3 linked regions of the Pelodiscus sinensis genome follow. The protein of the gene in region 1 purifies or fractionates together with the protein of each later gene. This does not show direct contact. Links are inferred from orthologs where the notes say so. Each region holds a gene or a part of one and is shown in the gene's direction. Other genes may lie near its edges.

Region 1 (7,631 bases):
AACCATGGTTCACTCTGAGTCCTGCATGCCCCTTGCAGGATGGGGGAAGGTAGTGAGATATTTTGCGTGTTCCCCGAGGCCATCACTGGCCTGGGAACAGGGGGAGTGCACAAATTCTCTGTCATCAGGGCACTGGTGCCTAGAGGAAACTGCCAGCTGTTTAAAACAGCTAGCAGTTGGGGGAGAGGAGGAAAGACTTCACGCACTCCTCCACCCCCAGGCACATCAGGGTATGTGGGCAGGGGAGTTCGGAAGTGTCCTGGCCCTGCCCTTTCCAGGGTGGCCCAGCCCCCCTTCTAAAATTATTTCCCCCTCCCCCGGGGTAGGGTGTTGCAGGATGTGGGGGATGCAGGAGTCAGGGCTGGGGTTGGAGGAATTCAGGAGTCATGGTGGAATGGCTGAGAAATGGGGGCTCAGAACAGGGCAGATGTGGGGGATGGTGCAGGAGTCAGGGCAGAGAGCTGTGGTGTGTGTAGGAGAAGGAAAGAGTGCTGTTTTGGGAGGGCAGAGGGGCTGCAGCTCTGCATACCCAGACATTGCTGCTCTTCTTTCCCTTCAGCTATCAAGGAGCAAGGGGAGAGTACACAGCTTGCATGAATTGCCCTTCCCCTAGGCAGCTGGGAAAGGAATGCATGCATGCACTTTTCCCTTGCTCCCTGATAGTCAGGGGAAGGGGAAGGGAAAGAAAAGTAGCAGAGTCCAGGGTACTTGTGTCTAAAGCTCCCAACCTTCCCTACAGGCAGGGGCAGATGACCGTTTTGCGGGGCCCCAGGCAACATAATTCCGTGGGGCCTACCCTTTGCCACGGCGCATGCGCGGGGCTTTCTGAAGCGCGGGGCCCGGGGTGGCCGCCCCGTTCGCCCTGCCCTATATCCACCCCTGCCTACAGGGCACCTTAGGGGGCGGGGCCCAGGGCTGGGACAGTCCTGGATCATTGTGTGTGTGTGTGTGTGGGGGGGGAGGAAGTCACTTCTCCAGCCAGCCCCTTTCACCTGCCTGCTGCTTATCACTGCAGTCTATAGGAAGCCCTGGAAGCCTGGCTGGGAGTGGCTGTTTTTCTTCCTGCAGATGAGTGTCCCAGCTGGCTAACTTCCTGCTGGAGCTGTGCACCCTCTTATTTTCACCTCTGCTTTCCATTAGCACCCCACTATAAAAATGGTTCCAGCACACCTGCTTAGCAGGGGGTCCAGGTGGGAAAGTGGGCCATAATAGGTTGGGGGCCTGGGTGCATTGGTTAGGATTCCGTGAGGTGGGGGTTTGAGTGGCAAGCTCAGCAGGGGTGGTTTGCATGCAGGTGTGAGACATGGCGGTGGTGGTGGAAGGCTTGCATGAAGGGGTTTCAGTGGAACAATTTTGGAACCCCTTCATGCAAGCTCCCCATGGAATTTTGAGGCTTAATGAGGTGATATGCTGGTTGGAATGCGTGGGGGTGAGCAGATGGGAGAGCAGCTCCCCATACACTGACCCCTCACCCCATGGCTGAGGAGCAATGGGGGCAGAAACCAGGGGTGTGTGTGCACACTGAGTTTCCTGGAGCAAGTGCAGGTTTCTGGGGGTAGGTCTGACCTGGCCCTAGCTACTTCTTGCAGGGCAAGAACAAGTACTGTCCTTTGCCAGCCAGGCTGGGACTAGCAGTTGAACCTGGCACATAGTACAAGCCACTGGCTATGGCATTGTCATCTCTGCTCTCCATCTCATTGTGATTTACCTCTGCTGCCTGTTTTAGGTGCCTGAAATAATGCACCCATGCTGGTGGGGAGGGATGGTCTGACTGCTCTTGCAGTTTCCCTGTGCTTCCAAGTCAGAAGTCATTTTTCTATAGAGAAGCAAAGAAATCTGTGGGAGCATGAATTCTGCATGTGCACACAGTGACATAGACTTTCCCTAGGGCTACGTCTACATTGGCATGATTTTGCGCAAATACTCTTTAACGCAAGAGTTCTTATGTTAAAATATTTCCAAGAGAGAGCATCTACACTGGCATGTGCCTTTGTGCAAGAGATGTGCTTTTGCGCTAGAGCATCTGTGCCAGTGTAGACGCTCTCTTGCGCAAGAAATTCATGTTGCCTGTCTACACTGGACTCTTGCGCAAGAACAGTTGTGCAAGAGGGCTTATTTCTGAGCGGGAACATCATAGTTCTTGCGCAAGAAACACTGATTTCACACATTAGAACATCAGTGTTCTTGCGCAAGAACTCCCCGCCAGTGTAGACAGGCAGCATGTTTTTGCGCAAAAGCGGCCGCTTTGGCACAAAATTGCGTCAATGTAGACACAGCCTAGGAGTAGTGGGGACAGAGCCAATAATGGTGCTGGGAGAACCAGGCAATGCCTTCTCATTGAGTCCAGTGGGGAAGCAGCATAGCTCATACAGAATGGCTTGGGACACAAGAAGTTGTCTTCTTTGTTTATATAGTATTGCCAACTTCAATAGGTCAAAAATCTTAAGTTGAATCACCAAAAATAATGATTGGCCCCAAAATAATGATATTTAAAATATATAATTATCTGCCCATGTTTTCTCAGAGTAGTAATAATTTTGAAAATTAACATTTGATAGAAATATTTTGTTCAATCACAGGCTGCTTTTAGAAACTGAACCAACAGAAAAATAAACCACTTGCAAATCTTAGCAAAGTGAGGAAAGTGGACTCTGGGGCGATGTCTACACTCGCGGCTTCTTGCGTCAGAAATATGCAAATGAGGCTAAGCGTGGAATATCGCCAAGCTCATGTGCATACCTAATGAACTGCCATTTTTGCAGAAGAGGCTCTTGCTCCAGAAGGAGCTGTTTACACTGCCCCTTCTTGCGCAAGAAAAACCCTCTTGTTTAATGCCGTTATTCCTGAAAATAATTGGTGTAATGGCATTGTGCAAGAGGGTTTTTCTTGTGGAAGAAGGGGCAGTGTAGACAGCTTCTTCTGGCACAAGACCCTCTTCTGCAAAAATGGCGGTTCATTAGGTATGCAAATGAGGCTCAGCGATATTCCACGCTTAGCCTCATTTGCATACTTCTGACGCAAGAAGCCGTGAGTGTAAACATAGCCTGGGTGGGGTACGGGGAGAGAAGATGGATAATGAGATGGATAAAGTGTCTGGCCTGGAACTGGGCACTGGTGTTGTGGCATGAAATAAGGGTGGTTAGAACCTACCACCCCTACAAAAACTAATCTGCTGCTGTCACAATATGAAGTTGAATAAAATTGAAGTTAACCATAATATAGCATCAGGGGAAAACTTAAACAATGAATAGTCTAGCTAGCAGCAGCTTAAAGACTAACAAAACATGTAGATAGTATCATGAGATTTGAGGCACTAGGGGTCACATGCCCCTGAATGTGGTGGGCAGAAGGGGAAAGGTGTCAGCCAGCAAAGGAACTAAATGGGGGGGGAGGGGAGATGGTGCTCATTACAAGGGTCCATTCTTTTTACATTCATTAGTAGCGGCAGAAGAAGTGGAGCAACATGGCCCCAGCTAGTTCTGTTCTCCCTCTGTGCCACTGTCGGGCATGGGCAGGATCACTCCCATATCTACTGTCACATAATTGGCCTGGTTAACATTGGTCTTACATTTGATAAGCAACTCCCTTCTTCTTCTTCTTCTTCTTCGAGAGTGTGTGTGTGTGTGTGCATGCACGCGTTCATGTGCATGCACGTGCGCTCAAATAAATCTCTAAAGGATAGTCTACACTGGCAGCTTCTTGCGCAAGAACTCTTTTGCGGAAGAGTTCTTGTGCAAAAACTCTTCCAGAAGAGAGTGTCTACAGTGGCATGTGCTTTTGCAAGAGCATCCATGCCAGTGTAGATGCTCTCTTACGCAAGAAAGCTCTGATGACCATTTTAACCACAGTGCTTTCTTGCACAAGAAATTCATGTTGCCTGTCTACACTGGCATCTTGTGCAAGAAAGTTGCACAAAAGGGCTTATTCCTGAGCGGGAGCGTCAGAGTTCTGGCGCAAGAAGCCCTGATTTCACACATTAGAACATCAGTGTTCTTGCGCAAGAACTCCCCGCCAGTGTAGACAGGCAGCATGTTTTTGTGCAAAAGCTGTTGCTTTTGCACAGTGTAGACACGGCCTTCGTATTTATGGTGCCACAGGACGACTCCTCGTTTTTACAATAGTTGGTGTTTCATAGAAAGAGCCAGCTTCGGGAGTCAATTGCCTACAGGAGAATCTCAGCTTCCACTAAAAACAAACGCTGCAGGCGAGGAAAGCAAAGCCCCTTGCACGCCTGGCTCGGAGCAGAAGGAAGAGTCCCTGTGTTCTTTTAATCCGCTCACCATGGTTGTTAAGCCAAGCGCCAGACAGGGTCCCCGAGGGGCTGCGCAGCAGGGTCCCCATGCTGGTGCCTGGCTCTCCTGCTTCCCCTGAGAGGTGCCCGGGCCAGCGTAGCAGGCAGAGTGGGCGGGGGCAGACAGCTGAGAGACCCGGGAGGGGGAAGAAAGCCCCGGGGCACCGCCCCGCCCTACCAGAAGCGATGCCGGGGAAACAAGACCCACTTGCGTCTTCCGCTTGGCTGCGTCGAACGCTACCCACTCCCCTCCCCCTCCCCCTTTCGCGGGGTTGCTTCCGGTACGAGGCGGAAGGGCCCCATGCTGCGGCTCAGGAGTCCCTTCAGGCGCTGCGCGCGGCGGCCTCGCCGGAGCGGAAGCTGGCTGAGGCGCTGTGTAATGCATCCGGAGGCGGGGCGGCGCCTGCGCAGTGCCTCGGGAGCGGGAGGAGACGCTCGCAGGGAGCCGTGCGGCCGCCGGGATGCCGGACTATCTAGGCGCCGATCAGCGCAAAACCAAGGAGGAGGAGAAGGAGGACAAACCCATCCGCGGTGAGGGGTCGGGGCCCTGTATCCAGCGACCTCGGCCTGCCCTGCGGGTCCTTCCCCTCGGGCTCCGCTGCGCTGGCGACGCCCGCAGTCGTTCCCGGGCTGGTCTCTGGCCCCACCGAGCGCCGGGCCCGGCGAGCTGGGCGGAGCGTCTCCGCCGTCGGGGAGGCAGCCGAGCCGCAGAGCGAGTCCGTCACTTAGTGAGGCGCCCAGGACTCGGGGTCTCACCTCAGTTCTGCTGGGTCAGGAGCTGCCCGGCCTCCCCGACGCTCCTGTGCGGGTTCCCGAGGCTTGTCAGCCGCCCTGGCCAGTAGGGGTGTTAGCGAGTATTGACTGGAGTATTGACTACTCGCTCCCATCCCCCGCCTTTTGCCTCTGAGAGGCGGGGGGTACAGGCAGGGATGTAAGCGACTAGTTGCCCCTCCCCCGTGCTGCCTCTGTCGGAGAGAGCCAGCAAAGGGGAGGGAGCAGAAGCCGGTGCTGGGGGAGCTGGCTGGTTCCTCCCCAGCACCGTCTCCACAGAGAGCAGAGGAGGCAGAGGCACAGTAGGAAACAGTAAGCAGGGACTGAAGCAATCTCCACTTGCGCCACTGTGGTGATTCTGCTTTTGAAATGTACAAGAGCCATAGCTGAGTTCTTGTATATTTCAAAAGCAGAAACCCCATAGAGGCAGAGGCCAATGGGGGATTCCTCTGCTAGCTCCATGCTCCCTGAAGAGCTTCCTTTTGAAATATACAAGAGCCCCACTGGGTCTCTTGTACATCTCAAAGTCTCAGATGCCACAGGGAATGCAGAGCGGGTCTCCCACTGGCCTTGTGCTCCCTGGCAGGGCTTTTGCTACAGTTCAAAGGTGAAGGCACCCTTATAGACTCATTGAATAGTCAATGGAAATCCCATTGACTATACAGTTAGTTAATTAATCTCAATTTAACATACATGGAAACAGGAGCCTGTGCTGGGGGGATCCAGCTTAATAGCTGCTTTCCCCCAGCACCCGCTCCATGTGCTGCCTCCCCCTCTAAACTCTGCTGCCTTTATCTGCCTTCGGCAGGCCAAGGCTTGCCATGGGCAGATGCTGCTTCAGCAGCAGCCCCTGCCCATGGGGGTCCCAGTGGGGCACTGCCTCCTCTTCTCCCCCTCGGACAGAGGCTGCTCTAGCAGCAGCCCCTATGCTGAAGCAGCTTCTGTTCACAGCAGCCTGGGATGGCTGCCGCAAACAGGGACTGTTGGACTCAGCACGTGCTGGGACCGCTCGCTGTTTTGGGATGCTGCACCTCTGCATTTTAAATGTAGTAAGAGTCTGATGGTTCAGTCCTGATTTGAGCTGACTGCTGGAGCAAGCCCCGTGGCTCTGCAGAGTGCTCCTTATCAACTAACTGTGTAGTCAATGCAATTGTATCGACTACACGATTAGTCAGATAACTGCAATTTAACATTGCTAGTACACAGTGGCTGGCCCAGGTTAGCGGCCTTGCATTCACTAGGCTTGGGCTGAAAATTGGCTATGTAGACATGAGAAGGTAGGGTCTCACGTAGGGATGCAAACGAGTAGTCAACTAGTCCAGGCTTATCAGTTAATCTTCTTGACTTTTTGCATTTCTCCCCCTGCCTCAGAAGCAGCAAGAGGGGGAAGCAGGAAGGCTGCGCAAGTCTAGATGCGGATCTGTCAAAAATAAACCCTTTTTCGACAGATCCTGTAAATCTCATTTTTTGAGGAATATAGGATCTGTCAAAAAAGGTTTTATTTTTGACAGATCTGCATCTAAACTGCCATTTTTTTGAAAAAGCTCTGTTTTGAAAAAAAGCGGTGGCCATATTTATGCGGGATATTTAAATCCCTGCTTCATTAACAATTTTGACATGCTTGATTTGCACCCCTCTGTCGACAGAGGGGGATGCAGTCTAGACATAGCCTTAATGTTTCTGGGCCTCCATTCCTTTCCTTAAAACAGAGGTAATAACATTTCCCTACCTTCCAGAAGTGTTGGGAGGATAAAAGTTGTGAAGCACTTGGAGATCTACTGATGGAAACAGCACTATCTGAGTAAACATCAGCCAGTCTTGCAATGCGATTGCTCAGAAATGTGAGCATCATCTAGCTAACATGTCTGTGGCTGCACTCATGCAGCATGCACTTTGCCATCAAGCACTGAATAAATTGAGGGATTCTCACTTTTGGGAGACTCCTGTATCTTATCTGCAAAACCTTTGTGTCATGTTCTGCTCTCTAACAATCAAATTATTAGATTCATGTAATGACTCTTACTCTTTGTTGATAACTTCAGTACAGGAGCATCTTGATTTTGAAATAGGGTCTTGTTCTTTCCGTCACTGAAATATAACATTATCCTGTTAATTAATTGCTTGGTGTGCAAGTATGTATTGAGTTATATACAGTCTAAGTACCTATGAGTGGTTAGCGTTAGAACAAATGACCTCTGGATTTTGGACAATTGTTGGGATAATCAAGAAGCAGAACTTGATCCATTTGTTTATTATACTCCCTTTTCTCCAGGCCCTTGTTAAGCTTGTTAAGCCCTTGGGTAAACTGCTTTCATGTTGGATATGTTGGTGCACAATAGATAACAATGCAGTACTTCTACTCAAGTCTTACTTGCTGGGATCAAGCTGGAGAACTTGTCTAACTCCTCCTTGTTCTTGAGTACTGTGCAATAAAACCAGATATTCTAGTTTAGTGTTTAAAAATAAAATAACACCAGCTCTCCCTCTCAGTATCAAAGGGGTCCTGTGGATGTGTGCATTTGCATCTTTTAGAAGCAAAATGAGATGCATTTAATTTGTTCTTGCAACT
Region 2 (7,520 bases), on another chromosome or scaffold:
ATCAAGGATCCTGAGGCCAAGAAGCCGGAGGACTGGGATGAGAGGGCCAAGATAGATGACCCTGAGGACACTAAGCCTGAGGTGAGCTGGGGGGCTGCAGATATAGGGCTGGACACAGGCTGGCATTGTGGTGCTCCATGTGGCCAGCTGGTGGGGACAGATTGTAGGGGAGAGAGGAGGGCTTTGTGCCCCCCAGAGGGAGGAGTTGACAGCAGATCTCTTCCTCTGCCCCCTCAGGATTGGGATAAGCCCGAGCACATTCCCGACCCTGACGCCAAGAAGCCGGAGGACTGGGATGAGGAGATGGATGGGGAGTGGGAGCCTCCAGTGATCCAGAACCCAGAGTACAAGGTGAGGCTGGGATCCCTCACTGTAAACTTGCACAAATGCTGTGGCTTCCTGAGTGGAGGAGCCATGGGCTGTGCAGCTCTGCTGCAGTCTGTGCTGTGCATCCATGTAGCCGTGGATGAGGTCTGAGGTCTGACTCTCGCCCCTTACTGCATTGGATTGACATGAGCCTCATCAACGCATCCTGCCCTTGCAGTCCTAACCCCCCCAACGCCTCTGTGCAGTGCCAGTGAGCAGTCCTTTCCTGGTGCCACCTCCTCCCTCTGCAGGGGGGGAGGAGATGGAGTCTTTAATGCCCCTTCCATCTATTGCAGCAACACTCTCCCAGTCTGACCAGCTGCTGGCAGAGCTGGTAAGGGAGGCTGTGAAGCGCTCCAAAGAGCAACCTGGGAATGTACCTTGGTTCTCACTTGGCATGTGGCAATTTAGGGTCAGATTGACAATTTGAGGCAATTTAGGCAGAGGGGTTGTTGGATCATTTAGTCTGATGGCCTAACACAGGCTACAGAACTGCCCTGCAGTAGTTCCTAGAGCTGAGCTCCTGAGAGCTTCAGGCATGAGTTAAAGCCTGCCAGTGACTGAGAATCCACCATGCTCTTTGGTTCAGGGCTCCGGCCCTGCCTGGGGAGAATCCAGGGTGCTAGACTGGGCATCCTCTGGGGCAGGCTCAGTTGATGTCCAGATGGCTCTGAAACCAGCAGTAAGTGAGGCCTTGAGCTCCTGCTCGCCTGAAACTCTGGGCCCGTGAGCCTCAGTGTAGGGCATTGCATAAAGGAGACAGCTTGTCCCACTCTTGGCGCTGTAAAACTTGCAGGCAGAGCTGCTTGTCCCAGTCTCTGGCCTCTCCCCAGATCTCCCTTGTTGGAGATGAGGTGAAATTCCTTTCCCGGCTCACTTGATTTCTCACATGCTTTGGCTTCCCAGGGGGAGTGGAAACCCCGCCAGATCGACAACCCTGATTACAAGGGAAAATGGGTGCACCCTGAGATCGACAATCCAGACTACACCCCTGACCCCAGCCTGTACTCCTACGACAACTTTGGTGTCATCGGCTTGGACCTATGGCAGGTACGCTCCTCCCCAGAGGGCTGGCCGGAGTGAGAATTGGAAAGCCCTAGCAGTGGCATCGGCCTGATGCCACCTGGCACTGGGGGTTGTGGGGAAATTCCCCTAACTCGGCTCTGCTTCTGGCTGAGTCCCTGGAGCACCAGCTGCAGTAAAGCACTGGAGTATCCAGTCTGATGGGACCTGGGCCTTGTACTTGGCTGTGCTGCAGGCAGACAGCTTAGCCTGCCCTCAGACTGCTGGCTTCTTGCATCAGAATGCTTCCCTCACCAGAAAACAGCTCTGTACGGATACAAAGTTGGTATCTGCATCCGCACCTGCAGCACTTGGTGGATTTGCAGGGCTCTATGAAACACATGCTTGTACTTTGCCCAATCCTTGAGAATTCAGCCTCTACTGTGGTTGAGAAGCATGAAGCTCTTTTCTGGCAGGACTTTTACTCCACCCTTTCTTGCTGAATGACACCCTCCCCACCCCATACTTGGAGCAAGCTGGGTGAGGTTGCGCTGAGGCTCTGTGCAGCCAGGAGCAGCCAGTCACTAGTTCTCTGCTTTTCAGGTGAAATCTGGCACCATCTTCGACAACTTCCTGATCACAGATGACGAGAAGTTCGCTGAGGAGTTTGGCAATGAGACCTGGGGGGCCACCAAGGTACTGGCTAACCTGGGGGAAGGCGCTTCTGTTCCCTGCCAGAAGGGATTCCCCTTGCCAGCACCTGTCTCCTCCCTCTGGGCCAACATTGGGGAAGCACTGCTCTGAGCCAGAGCCTGCCCATGGTCCCCTCCTCCCACCAGTTGGGCGGGCTGGCAGGCAGTGCAGTGACAGTCACCCCCTGGGGCTGTCCTCTGTTCCCAGTGAAGCACCTCTTAAGCAGGACTAGCTGAGTCCAGTGGTTTACTGTTGACTCTTCAGTGTTAACTCGGTGGTGGGCAGCTGTAATAAGCCACCTCTGAAATCTGGTATTGGGGGGCAGGGAGAGGAGGCCAAGTAGCTTCCATAAATGTCCTGAAACACAAATCCTGTAATGGCTGCATACCCTCTCTGAATAGACAGGGTGTCAGGAGGGGGGCTACAGCTGGAGCAGGATTCCTGACCTGTGAGGTGAATGTCTGAGCCAAGCCATGAAGGTGTAACGTGGTCTGCAATTGCGGAGAGGTTGGAGTCCAGTCTCCTAGCTCGCTGAGTTCTTGCAGTGTCTCCTTATTACTTGGCCCAAACTAGTCTGAGGACAGCACCATTCTCCTTGTGCAGATGGGAGAAACAGAGGCCCAGAGGCAAAGTGACTTGGTGAAGGCTACCCAGGGGATCTGGCAAAGCAGGGAGTCCCAGACTAGTGCCTAAACCACTTGCCCTATGCTTCCTCTTCCTTTTGCCTAACTTATGTTGCCATCCATCTCACCAGGATGCTGAAAAGAAAATGAAGGAGCAGCAGGACGAAGAGCAGCGGAAGAAACAAGAGGAGGAAGATAAGAAGCGGAAAGAGGAGGAAGGGGACGAGGAGCCCGAAGGGGAAGATAATGAAGATGAGGATGATGATGATGACGACGAACCCGAGCCTGAGAAGGAGGAAGAGGAGGAAACGGAGGGACCAGTGAAGGATGAGCTGTAGAAGGCGGTTCCCACAGCACCACTCCTCTGCTGAGCCTCACCCTGGACCGTGTGGCTTGCTTGGTTAAACCCAAATAAGGAGGGGGGAGGGGATACAGTAATGTCTCTGTGAGACTTGAACTTTTTTATTGGTGTTTCTGTTTGTGTTTTTTTTTTTTCACATGCCCCCAATGCCATCAACAATCCATTCATGTCAGTACAGCTCTAGGCCCTGCAGGGCATGAATGTATGGTAAAGTTAACAGTAGAAACTTAACCCTTGGTTCAGGCAAGAATGGCAGCATGGAATACTTCTACTGGTGGCGAGCTTCTCTACTGGCTGGCTTCAGGTGCTCTGCAAAGGGGCATATAGGAGGCAGAGTATCTCTCCTTCCCCTTCGCCAGTCCCTTACCTGCCCTGTCCCTCAAAGTTTAGTCTCCCTGAATGGGTGGGGAGGTTGATTGTCTTTTCCTCTGTTCTCAAGCACGGGGGTGGGAGTCTGCAAGACTGCAGTATTATGTCTCTTTTCAGCAGTCTGTTCTAGGGAACTGTAGCTGTGGGGAGAGCTCTTGCTCAAAGTGAGTGGCTCAATCCATTCCCCCTAGCTCACTGCTGCACTTTTTTTATAACTGCAGCATCTGTCCTGGCCTCTCTTGCAGCCACAGCTGGTGCCAAAGCCAGTTCAAATGCAGGTGATAGTAACTCTAAGCAATTTCTCCCCTCCCCTTCTTTTGGGATGCTGAAGCAAACAGCCCTGCTACCCTCCACAATCCCCCTAGAAATTGCATAGAGCTATTGGCACAGCGGTGGGGAAATGGCACTGGTAAGAGTGAGGAGACTGTTGTCTGGGTGAGGGAGGTTGCTGGGGGGGAGGGCACTTACAGTGGGTAAGGGAGTAGAGTTCGGAGTCCAAATCTTACTACGAAATAAATATATTGGGTGGGGGAGGGGAATGAAGGGACGAGGTGGGGGCTGGGAGGCTTCTCATGTTCACTTGAATGTATGAATGATTGAAGATTTCTATTAAATTAAATCCTGTGTCTGGCCTGTGACCTGGTTTCCCTGGGCTCTCTGCTGGGCGGGGGCTAGGGGGCAAGCTCAGCTGGAGGGGGCCAGCGCTAAGGCCGAGTCCAAGGGCTCCAGCTGGGACCTCCAGCCAGTCACCGAGCGGCGGCAATCTCCGGGGGGGCGGGGCTGTAGCTCACGCAGCAGCAGGGCCCCCCCCCCCCCCGTCGTGGGAGCTTGCTATTGGTCGGGGGGGGGGGCGGTCTAGCAGGGGCCTCTGGCCAGCGGGGGCGGGAGCTGCGCGGCAGGTTTGAGCTGGGGCGGGGCTCCCCGCTCAGCCATGTTAGCCCGCTCGGGCGTCCATTTTGTGTTCCCTTATCACGTGAGCCCCGTGTTGCTGTCACGCGGTTGGCTGAGCCCCCGTCATGTGAGGCGTCGCGGGTACCGTGTCACGTGGTCGCGACGCCCGCCCCGTCACGTGAGGGAGGCCACGCGCGTGCCCCGGTCACGTGGCGGGCTTGCCCCGGCCGGGGCCGGAAGCGGCGGGGCGCTAAGATGGCGGCGGCGTGAGTTGCATGTTGCGGGGCTGCGAGTCCGCTGGCACGAAGCGCCCGGCGCGCGCCATGGCGGTGACCATCACGCTCAAGACGCTGCAGCAGCAAACCTTCAAGATCCGCATGGAGCCCGAGGAGACGGTGAGGGCCCGCGTGGGGGGGGGGCAGCCCCCCCGCCCGGGGCAGCCCCGCCCCGCCCCCCCGCAGGTAGGGCAGCCCCCCCGCCCGGGGCCGCCCCGCCCCGCCTCCCCGCAGGTAGGGCAGCCCCCCCGCCCGGGGCCGCCCCGCCCCCCCGCAGGTAGGGCAGCCCCCCCGCCCGGGGCCGCCCCGCCCCCCCGCAGGTAGGGCAGCCCCCCCGCCCGGGGCCGCCCCGCCCGGTCCTGAGTGGAACGGTCCCGGCTTCTCTCTGCTGTGGGGGGCAGCCCCCCCCCCCTTGGGCCGTGCTCGTGGGCCGGCCCCTGCCGGGGGATGTGACGCGGGGCCCTGGCTTGGGGGGCAGCCGAGCTACCCCGGTCCCCCCCCCATCCTGGGGCTCTGGCCCACGTGGGACCCCGCAGGCCCCTGCTCGCTCCTATGCGCCAGGGCTGCGTTGCTGGGGGCCTGCCGCGTGGACGTGGGGGGGAGCCAGTCTCCGTCTTGCTTTGGTCCCCTGCCCTGCCGGTGGGGGGCTCCCCGGCCTCCCGCTTCTCACGCCCAATGGGGTTGCACAGCACAGCGGCTGCTGCTGCCCCCTCGCCTGTCCCCGACCCGCGGCAGGCTGTCGATTCCTCTGAAGCTGCTGCAGGGCCGTCAACTCCCATGGGATGTTCGAGATGAGACCTTAATAGTCTCATAATCCGCATTCACGTGACTGACCTCCAAGATGACTGAAGTGCATCGAGGGGGCCGAGCTGCTAACTCTTGGGGCTAACATGGCCTAGTGACTAGAGTGCTGGGCTTGCACTCAGGAAAGCTGGGATCAGTTTCTGGCTCTGCCACTGGTTTGTGAGGGAGGGCGACCTGACCAAAGTCATTTCTGCTTCCCCGGCCTTAATTTCCCCATGTGTAGCACCCGGGAGAATGGTACTCACCTCGTTTGTGAAGCCCTTGGAGACCGATAGATGACCAGAGCCTTATGAGAGCTAGGATTTATTAACACACTCTGCTCCACATCCTGCTCCAAGGTGGCAGGGGACACAGAGCTGACCAGGTAGCACCAGTAACAGGAGCGTCACATTCTTGTCTCTGTGCCGGAGATGTCGTTTGGCTTTCATGGGAGCTTTGCTTGTGGGCAGCGTGTCTGGCATGGCTGCAAACTCCTTTTCTTTGGCTCTGTGGAAAGACGATCCCTGTGTTTTTCTGTTGAGACTTCTGGTCCCGGGGTGGGGAAGATGGAAAGTCCCCATGCTGGTGTTTGCATATGGGGTGACTGGGCGCTTTGTGCGCACCTCAGCAGCGCTCGGTTTGAATGACTTGGGAAGTGCTGATGGATGGGGCTGCGCGGCTGTTCCAAGCTCTAGTACCAGGGTGGGATGGAGTGAGTAGAGCAGTGGTTTTCAAACCGGGTCACGACCCAGCACTGGGTTGCGGAATGCCAGGCACTGGGGTCTTGTGGCTGCATGGGGGCGGGGGGCTAAGGTAGCTTGTCACCTGTCCTGGCACTGCAGACTGCGCTGTGCCCCTGAAGCGGCCGAAGCAGGCTTGGCTCCTTGGTAATGGTGGGAGGGGAGCACACAGGGCTTTGTGCCTGCTCCAGCCCCAAGCACTAGCTCCGCACTCCCATTGGCTAGGAACCTGCTTCTGGGGCACAGCATGATCTGCAGTGGCAAGAGAGGCAGGGAGGTGGTTTAGCCTGCCCACTGATCTCCCTGCAGCCACGAGACTCTAGTGCTTCCCCACTGCACCGCTGGCCAAGAGTCACTTGAGGTAAATTCCTCCTCCCTCCCCCCCAGCTTTGACTCAACCCCATCCCGGAACCCACACTTTAGTCAAGTGAAGTTGGGGTGCACCAACACATTTCTTCAACTGGGTCATGAAAAAAAAAAGTTGGAAAACTCCTGGAGTAGAGGGTGGTGGCGGGGAGATTCTTCTCCCTCCAGACAGACAGCTGGTGTCACAGGCTGAGCTGAGATTGAGAACAGGCCTTGGCTTCCGCAGGGGGTGGAGACCTGCACTCAGGCCTGCTCTGCTTTGTGCTTTCCAGAGAGTTGATTTGAAGGGGCTCGCGGGGGTACGGAACTTACGGATGGGTGTGATGCACGTAGCAATAAACCCCAGCAAGCCGACTCTTTCCAGGAACCCTCTTGTCCTGCCCTTTGAAATCTTCCTAGTTCCTTTTGCAGCTGAGAAACTTCTTTTGGGGGTCAAAGGGATTTCAAATGGTTTTGTGGCTTTAAGGCAGAAACTGATTGCTGGACAGCTCCCTTCCCATGTACAGCTGTAAACGGTCTCTGGTGAGACCAGGAGGGCAGGGGGAGGAATAGCTGCCGGATGTTTAATGCGGCTGAGGGGCTGAACTCGGGTTAAGAGGGTCTGTGTTGAGTTTTCAGCTCTGCTACAAACTGCCTGTGTGATCTGAGTACATCTGGTCGTTGTTCTGTGCCTCAGTTTCCCCTGTATAATGGGAGAGGGTGGCATGTAATAACCCTTCCCTTGTTTTTCTCTGTTCGGCCTGTGAGCTTTTTGGGGTAGGAATTCTCCATAGCTGTGCAATGCGGTGCAACCCCGATTTCTGTGAGAGCCTGCAGACCCTTCCAGATTACGAAGAGCGTATTTAGAAGGATTTTTGGTGTCTGTCTTAATGCAGATTGGCCCCTGGCAATAAGGAGGCCCTAGCTGCCAACAAGGAACGTGCTGTCTGAGGTGCAGGGCACGTACAGCTGAGTGAAACCGGTTAAAAACCAAGTTGAACCTGGTGCGCCTGTTTTTGTGGGGCGAGCCGAGAGGCAAAAAGGGATTGGGTGACGTCAATAGGCCAGCTTC
Region 3 (6,847 bases), on another chromosome or scaffold:
TGCAATTGTATTCTTACCTTTTCTCCTTTGTCTGTGTAAGTTGTCTAAAGAGATAAATTAAAAAAATGTACATTAATCACCAGAAAACTAGTCCATCAGGTCACTTTTTAGAAAATAAGTGTTCTGAACTGCTTTAAACAGATAAATTAAATAGCCCAGCTTTTCAAAGCACAAACAGTACCCTGAATAACTGAAGACAAACCTATACAAACACAGTGAGAGATTAGCTCATTTACCCCCAATAATGTGTTGCCAGCAAATTTTAAAAAATCTCAACCTCACCATTTTTGTAACCTGACAATGTGGTAGCCCCAAGAGACAGTCAGAGTCTTTCTATGTATTTAATATAGCAATGGGAAGAGAGAAAGCCCCTCCCTGACTCCACCCTTTCTATCTTGTAAACTAAATGATTTACTTGGTTTGAATCATTCTGCCATGGGCTCAGAAATGATAACATGGAGTTCATATTTATGTTGAAAGAAAGAAAAACTGTTTACAAATTCTGAGCCAAGGGTCCAGGTTACTTTAGCTGCAGCTTATCTGTGAATCAAATTATCTAAGGAAAGTCTAAAAAAAAGACCAGATTCTCATCAGAATGTAGTATTAACCCAAAGTAACTCTGTACTTTTGGGCTGTGTCGACACTGGCATGATCTTTCACCAAAGTGGCCACTTTTCCATAAACACATGCTGCCTGTCTACACTGGCGGGGAGTTCTTGCGCAAGAACACTGACGTTCTGATGTGTGAAGTCAGTGCTTCTTGCGTAAGAACTATGACACTCCCGCTCAGGAATAAGCCCTTTTGCGCAACTGTTCCTGCGCAAGAGGCCAGTGTAGACAGGCAACATGAATTTCTTGCACAAGAAAGCCTGATGGCTAAAATGGCCATTGGAGCTTTCTTGCGCAAGAGAGCATCTACACTGGCACGGATGCTCATGCACAAAAGCACATCTCTTGCGCAAAGGCACATGCCAGTGTAGACGCTCTCTTGCGCAAATACTTTAACAGAAGTCTTGCGTTAAATAGTTGCGCAAGATCATGCCAATGTAGACATAGCCTGGATTAACACCAGATTTCACTGATTTTAGCTTGTGGACCATCACATCCCATATCTTTGAAGCAGAACTCTGACAGTGCCAGCATTCACAGATGTTTGCTGCAGGGAGAATTTAAAACCAAAAAATTTACTTGAAGGTGTCTAGGCATTGCTCAGGGAATTGGCAATTGGAATGGGTGCTTTTCAGATCTAGATTACTGCTACAAATCTAGAATAGGAAAGCACTAACCAAAATGTATTATTTGATGGCTGTGCAGTGTACTTGTTTGGCTTCCACCACTATGTCTAATTGACAGCAATTAAGAGGAAAATCAGGCCTCTCATGGATCTGGGAAATCCAGTTATAGTATGGTTTCTTCTTCCCTGCCAGGAAAGAAACAAGCCTGTTATAATTTGTTGCAGGCAGTTAACTTTGGCAGTTAATAGCAGTGGAGCTTGCTTGGGAGACATGGAGAGATACTTTTGGCAAGGAGAGGGCTGGGATCAGAGGACTCAGCTGAACCCCAAGGGAGTTTTCTGTTTTCTCACTTCTGCTTGTTTGATTTGTTTGTAAGGGAAAGACCCAGTTGACTGCTGTGCTGTTTAGTTAAGTCTGCTGATCCTCCCACCATTTCACACACTGTTGTGTCCTCAGGAATAATTCAAGACCAAGATTGTCCAAGCTTTTCACACACTGTTGTGTCCTCAGGAATAATTCAAGACCAAGATTGTCCAAGATCTTCCACAGCTTTTTCTGAGCGCACGCTAGAGCTGGTGACTGCAACAGGCACCCTCCCAAGAAAACTTTTTTTTGTTTCCATTCCCCACTCTCCTTTAAACCACACTCACCAGCAGCCCAATGGGAGATGGAGGAGAGGCCTATTTGGCTACTAGTTTTCAAACTATGGGTTGCAACTGAGTACTGGGCCATGGAATGTCAAGCACTGGGTCTCATTGCTGCAGGGGGATCAGCTAGCTCCCTGCCTGACCTTGCAGCGCAGACTGCACCACAGGCCCAGCTCCTGGAGAGGAGGGGAGAGCATACAGCAAAGTCTGCAATGCCAGGAGGCAGGAAGCTGCCTTAGCACTCCCGCTGCACCTCTGAGAGCCATTCAAGGTCAGCCCCTCCTGCCCTAGCAATGACCCCCACTCAAGCCAGAGCCCCCTCCTACACCTCAAAGCTCTCATCTTCAGCCCCACCCTGGAACCCACAAACCAGTCAAATTATATGGGGTCACAGACATCAACAACTTTCTTCAACTGGGTCTTGAGAAAAAAAAGAGTCTGAAAACCACTGTTAGACTATGATTTAGCCAGCTGACTGCCAGAGTTTAAGTATCCTTCTTTAGTATAGTGTTTTCTGTCCAGCCAAGCAAGAAAACATTGTTTTCTCTGATTGTATTTATTATAATTGGGCAAAATCCCATTTCTTTCCAGTTCAAAGGCAAATCAATGCAAGCATTCTCTGCTCACCCCAACAAGGGTATATCTGAAGTGCCATTCATCCTCATTATGAAATTTCTTGCAAATAAAAACCTTGACAAAACAAAAACACATAACCTAAGAACTTCCACCATGCCTAAAACTAGAAGTAGATGTGCTGAACAGCCAGGCTACGTCTACACTGGCCCCTTTTCCGGAAGGGGCATGTTAATTTCAGCTATCGTAATAGGGAAATCCACGGGGGATTTAAATATCCCCCGCGGCATTTAAATAAAAATGTCCACCACTTTTTTCCGGCTTTTAGAAAAGCCGGAAAAGAGCGTCTACACTGGCCCCGATCCTCCAGAAAAAAGCGCCCTTTTCCGGAGGATCTTATTCCTACTTCAAAGTAGATTCCTACTTCAAAGAAGAAGATTAAAAAAAACAAACCCACTCATAAGCCCTCTCTCCCCGTCCCAGCCCTCCACATGGTCCATGGAAGCCAGCACTGCAGAACTCTTCAAAAGCCGCCAGCGACCATTCCCAGGACACAAAACCGGGACGGAACGATCAGCCTGGAAGCGGCTTCAGTGGAACGTGGCGGACACGTGGGAGCTCGAGAAGGACTTTGCCGCTCCACTTTGTACCCCGCGATGAGCGCTAGTAGCCCCCCCCCCCGGGCTGCCCTGAATGACGTTTCCACTAGAAGTCTCCCTGGCCAAGAGGATGCAGCGTCTGGCGGCGCCGGTCGAGAGGCTGAAATGCTGCAGCCGCTCCCAAGGGGCCAAGGCGCGGGGCGGCAGGTGCCGGGATGATACAGAGAGGGGCGGTGACCGGGGGGACGCTCCCGCGCTTAAAGTGCTTGCAAATCCCCTGCAAGGCCGCAGTGTCCCTCGCCACGTACAGGCGTGGGGGGAGGGGGGGTTGGTTAGTGACCCCTCCCCCCTCCCACGGTGCATTTTAACCCGTGCGCGCCTGACTGGCATTGCAGCCGCTCTCCGGGCCCTGCTGCCCCCTGGCCCCGCCCACGCGCGCCGGGCCCTGCTGCCCCCTGGCCCCGCCCACGCGCGCCGGGCCCTGCTGTCCCCTGGCCGCGCCCACGCGCGCCGGGCCCTGCTGCCTCGTGGCCCCGCCCACGCGCGCCGGGCTCTGCTGCCCCCTGGCCCCGCCCACGCGCGCCGGGCTCTGCTGCCCCCTGGCCCCGCCCACGCGCGCCGGGCTCTGCTGCCCCCTGGCCCCGCCCACGCGCGCCGGGCCCTGCTGCCCCCTGGCCCCGCCCACGCGCGCCGGGCCCTGCTGCCCCCTGGCCCCGCCCACGCGCGCCGGGCCCGCCCACAGCGCGAGGAGGCGGGGCGATGGCTCCGCCCCTCCTCTGCCCCCCCCCCCCGCCCATCCTGCTGCGCGGCGCGTGACGCGCGGGCGGGGGTGGCTGGGTCGAGGCGATGGCGGAGGAGGCCGGGCCCGTGACCATGAGCGACGTGCAGGAGCTGATGCGCCGGAAGGACGAGATCGAGGCCCAGATCAAAGCGTGCTACGCGGTGCTGGAGGGGGTGCGTGCGCGGGGGGCGGGGCGCTGCTGGGGGCCGAGACGCTCCCTGTGTGGGGGGGGGATGCGCGCCCCCGTGCCAGTGTGTTGGGGCGCGTGCCTGTGCGGCCCCGCCCCTGCCGAGCGTGTGGGGGAGGGCGTGCGGAGCTGGCCCTGGCAGGATGCATATGCCTGGCCCGGCCCAGCCCGACTATCACTGCTGGTGCGCAGCCCGAGGCTGCCTGATGCGGGCCAAGCCTGCCCGTGCAAGGCCCCATGGCCACGGGGGAAGGGCACTGCTGTTTGGCACTGCAGGGGTTAACGCAGCACCGCTGCAGGGTGGCCGCTGGGAGCTGGGCGTGCGGTACCTGACGGTAGCTATAAGGGGCGCTGCGCATCCCTTATAGCTGCCATCAGGCGCCCCACATAGGTTGGCATCCCGGGCAGCTGCCCGGCTAGCCCATGCCTTAATCCGGCCCTGTTTGTGTGTATTGGTCTCTCAGGTTAGAGCCTGACAGCCCACATGCACAGGGTTCACTGTAGGGGGTCTCTGTGCAAAGCTGGGCTGTGGCATATGTGCACATTCAGTGAGAGGGGAGAGTTCATGGCGGGGTCTCCCAGGATGGTCGTGGAGCCTCCAGGAATTAAAGATCATTGTTGCGTTCAAGATTATGTTGTGATGAAATGTCAAGGAATGCATCCAGATGGGCAGTCCTCAGGGCAGGGATGGGGTCTGTGCAAACTCAGATCTGCAATGTCCTTACAGACTTCATTTAGTTCATTCTGGTGCAAAAGTAATTGCCTCCTTGGCAAGGCGGGGGGCAGCTCTGGGTCCCCAGAAGGGTGGGGTTGGAGGGATGAGACTCCCCCAGTCAGCCCTTTGTGGGTTCTGTTTCCACATCAGCCAGTAGCCCCAGGGTTTGGGTGGTGATGTAGAGGGCAATGGGAACAGCTGAGAGCACTGGAAGTGATTAGAAGGTCCCCTTCATTCCCCTCTTCCCAGGTTGAGGCCACTGCAGTAGTGACAGCCAGGACCTTTTAAATCAGCAGGGCAGCTGCTCCTTTTGCTTCCCCTGTGGGCAGCCCTGTTAGTGTAGGGTTCAGCAGGGCCACTGATGTTAAAGCACTGCCACAGCAGCACTATAATGTCAGTTGTGTACGAGCCAGTACTGGTAGCTGGTTCTTACCTATATGCTGTACTAACCCACTCTGACCTATGAGTTCAACCTACTAAACAAGCTGTTGAGACCACAGGTGCCATATTTTTGTCCTTTAAAAATGAGAAACAAAATGTAACTTGTCTCAAGAATACTTGACGCATGAAAGTATTTCCATTCTGCAGCAAAAGGGAGTCGGGATGAACGAGCCGCTGGTTGATGCTGAAGGGTTTCCACGTGCAGATGTCGATATATACCAAGTTCGTACAGCCAGGCACAACATTATCTGTAAGCAATTCAGTCCTCAAAAGTATCTTGTCAGGGGCTGAGCTAAATGAAACAGACCACACTTATCAGAAATTTGGTTCTTTTTTTTACAAACATCTGGTTTGGTTCGTTTTGTTTTTCCCATTGGTAAACATAAAGAAATAAAACTGAATACTGTTTACATAAAGCAAAATTATTGATTGGACATTTATATATTTACAACAGTAAGTTTCTTTAGTTTATAATAACAAAATAGATTATTAAAACACTTTATTAGTAAAAATAATTAGTCATCTTTATAGTAATACACTCCTAGTGCTATTTAATATTTTAACTTCATCCAGATTGCAAAATAAAAATGGGTCAGTTTGAGTTTTGTTTCCAAGCAGCTTTTCCCTCTGGTCAGGTACTACAAAAGTTCAAGTAGAGTGGCTCAGTCATAAAAATGAATCTGTTAAAATGTGTGTGCAACATTATTAATGCACCTATTAATGATTAATAAAAACAGTAATATTTTTGTATTATTGTAAAACTTTTCTGTGTTCTTTAGAAAATAAATGTTGGATCTAAACTAGTCAACGTTGTTCCTTTTAAATTTAGTGATTGCTTTGTATTTTGTGGACAAATGTATTATAATAGTCATTGTTTAGAAATAAGTGTTGCATGTAGAGCAGGGTTCGGCAGCTTTTCCAAAGTGGTGTACCAAGATTTAACCCTCCTGTCCTGGGCTGTGCCACTCTCTCGGGGGGGCTCTCTCCACCGTGTGCCCTGCTTGGTCTCCTATCCTGGACTGTATTTCAGCTTTTCCTGCACCTGGGGCTAATGCTGCTTTGGGGTCAGAGGACCCCCACATGCATTTTCCTCTCCCCTGAGCCGCTGCCACCCAGCCCCGGAGCTACAGCCCGAGCAGCACTCACCCTCTAGTGGGGGCCCCGTGGTGGTGGTGCTAGCGGTGGGACGTGACTTCAGCACTGTCTTTAGCCCGCCTGCCAGGGACATCACGAGGCAGAAAGGGAGGAAAGTGGAGCAGGGAGTGCTGAAGCTGTAGGGCTAGGGCTGTGCAACAGGGCGGAGACTGGCAGGCTGGAGGATGCAGGGACGGGACTCCCAGGTGAACGTGTTGGACGGGCTGGAAGGCAGCTCCTCACACCCCCTACCGAAGCAGGAAAACTGCGTCCTAGAATGAGCCCCCTCCTTACCGCATCTGTTGCACTCCAGTCCAGCTCCAGCCTGCCCCACTCCCTCACATGGCCTAGCAGCCCTGCTCTGCCATGTCCAGCCGCCCTTGGAGCAGCTCCAGCCCCTGGAACAGTCATGTTCCTCCATGTGGGCTGGCTGCCCCCAGAGCAGCTCCAGCCTCCAAAGCAGTGGCCTGCTATGCAGCCCGGCTGGTCAGGCTGTGTGACTGCCACGGAGCAGGAACTGGGGAAGCAGCGAGGC

The links. Proteins that work in one complex are often made in the same cells at the same time.
Region 2: the proteins of PSMC2 (region 1) and RAD23A purify together in Homo sapiens (affinity purification with western blotting; 4 studies listed by BioGRID and IntAct, with this or other methods). This does not show direct contact. The link is inferred for Pelodiscus sinensis from reciprocal best matches to the Homo sapiens genes PSMC2 and RAD23A.
Region 3: the proteins of PSMC2 (region 1) and PSMD9 fractionate together in Homo sapiens (co-fractionation; 4 studies listed by BioGRID and IntAct, with this or other methods). This does not show direct contact. The link is inferred for Pelodiscus sinensis from reciprocal best matches to the Homo sapiens genes PSMC2 and PSMD9.

What each region holds. Positions count from the first base shown.
Region 1 is NC_134711.1:23,572,220-23,579,850, forward strand, and holds the start of PSMC2 (26S proteasome regulatory subunit 7), read left to right. Parts: upstream 1-4,616; 5' UTR 4,617-4,752; coding exon 4,753-4,822; intron 4,823-7,631.
Region 2 is NC_134729.1:13,037,670-13,045,189, reverse strand, and holds the start of RAD23A (UV excision repair protein RAD23 homolog A), read left to right. Parts: upstream 1-4,512; 5' UTR 4,513-4,580; coding exon 4,581-4,700; intron 4,701-7,520. Other genes in the region: CALR (calreticulin), read left to right, coding at 1-81, 238-351, 1,273-1,416, 1,972-2,064, 2,816-3,022. UniProt on the Homo sapiens protein: Multiubiquitin chain receptor involved in modulation of proteasomal degradation. Binds to 'Lys-48'-linked polyubiquitin chains in a length-dependent manner and with a lower affinity to 'Lys-63'-linked polyubiquitin chains.
Region 3 is NC_134725.1:33,301,577-33,308,423, forward strand, and holds the start of PSMD9 (26S proteasome non-ATPase regulatory subunit 9), read left to right. Parts: upstream 1-3,839; 5' UTR 3,840-3,900; coding exon 3,901-4,008; intron 4,009-5,325; coding exon 5,326-5,428; intron 5,429-6,847. Other genes in the region: HPD (4-hydroxyphenylpyruvate dioxygenase), read right to left, coding at 18-44, 283-285. UniProt on the Homo sapiens protein: Acts as a chaperone during the assembly of the 26S proteasome, specifically of the base subcomplex of the PA700/19S regulatory complex (RC).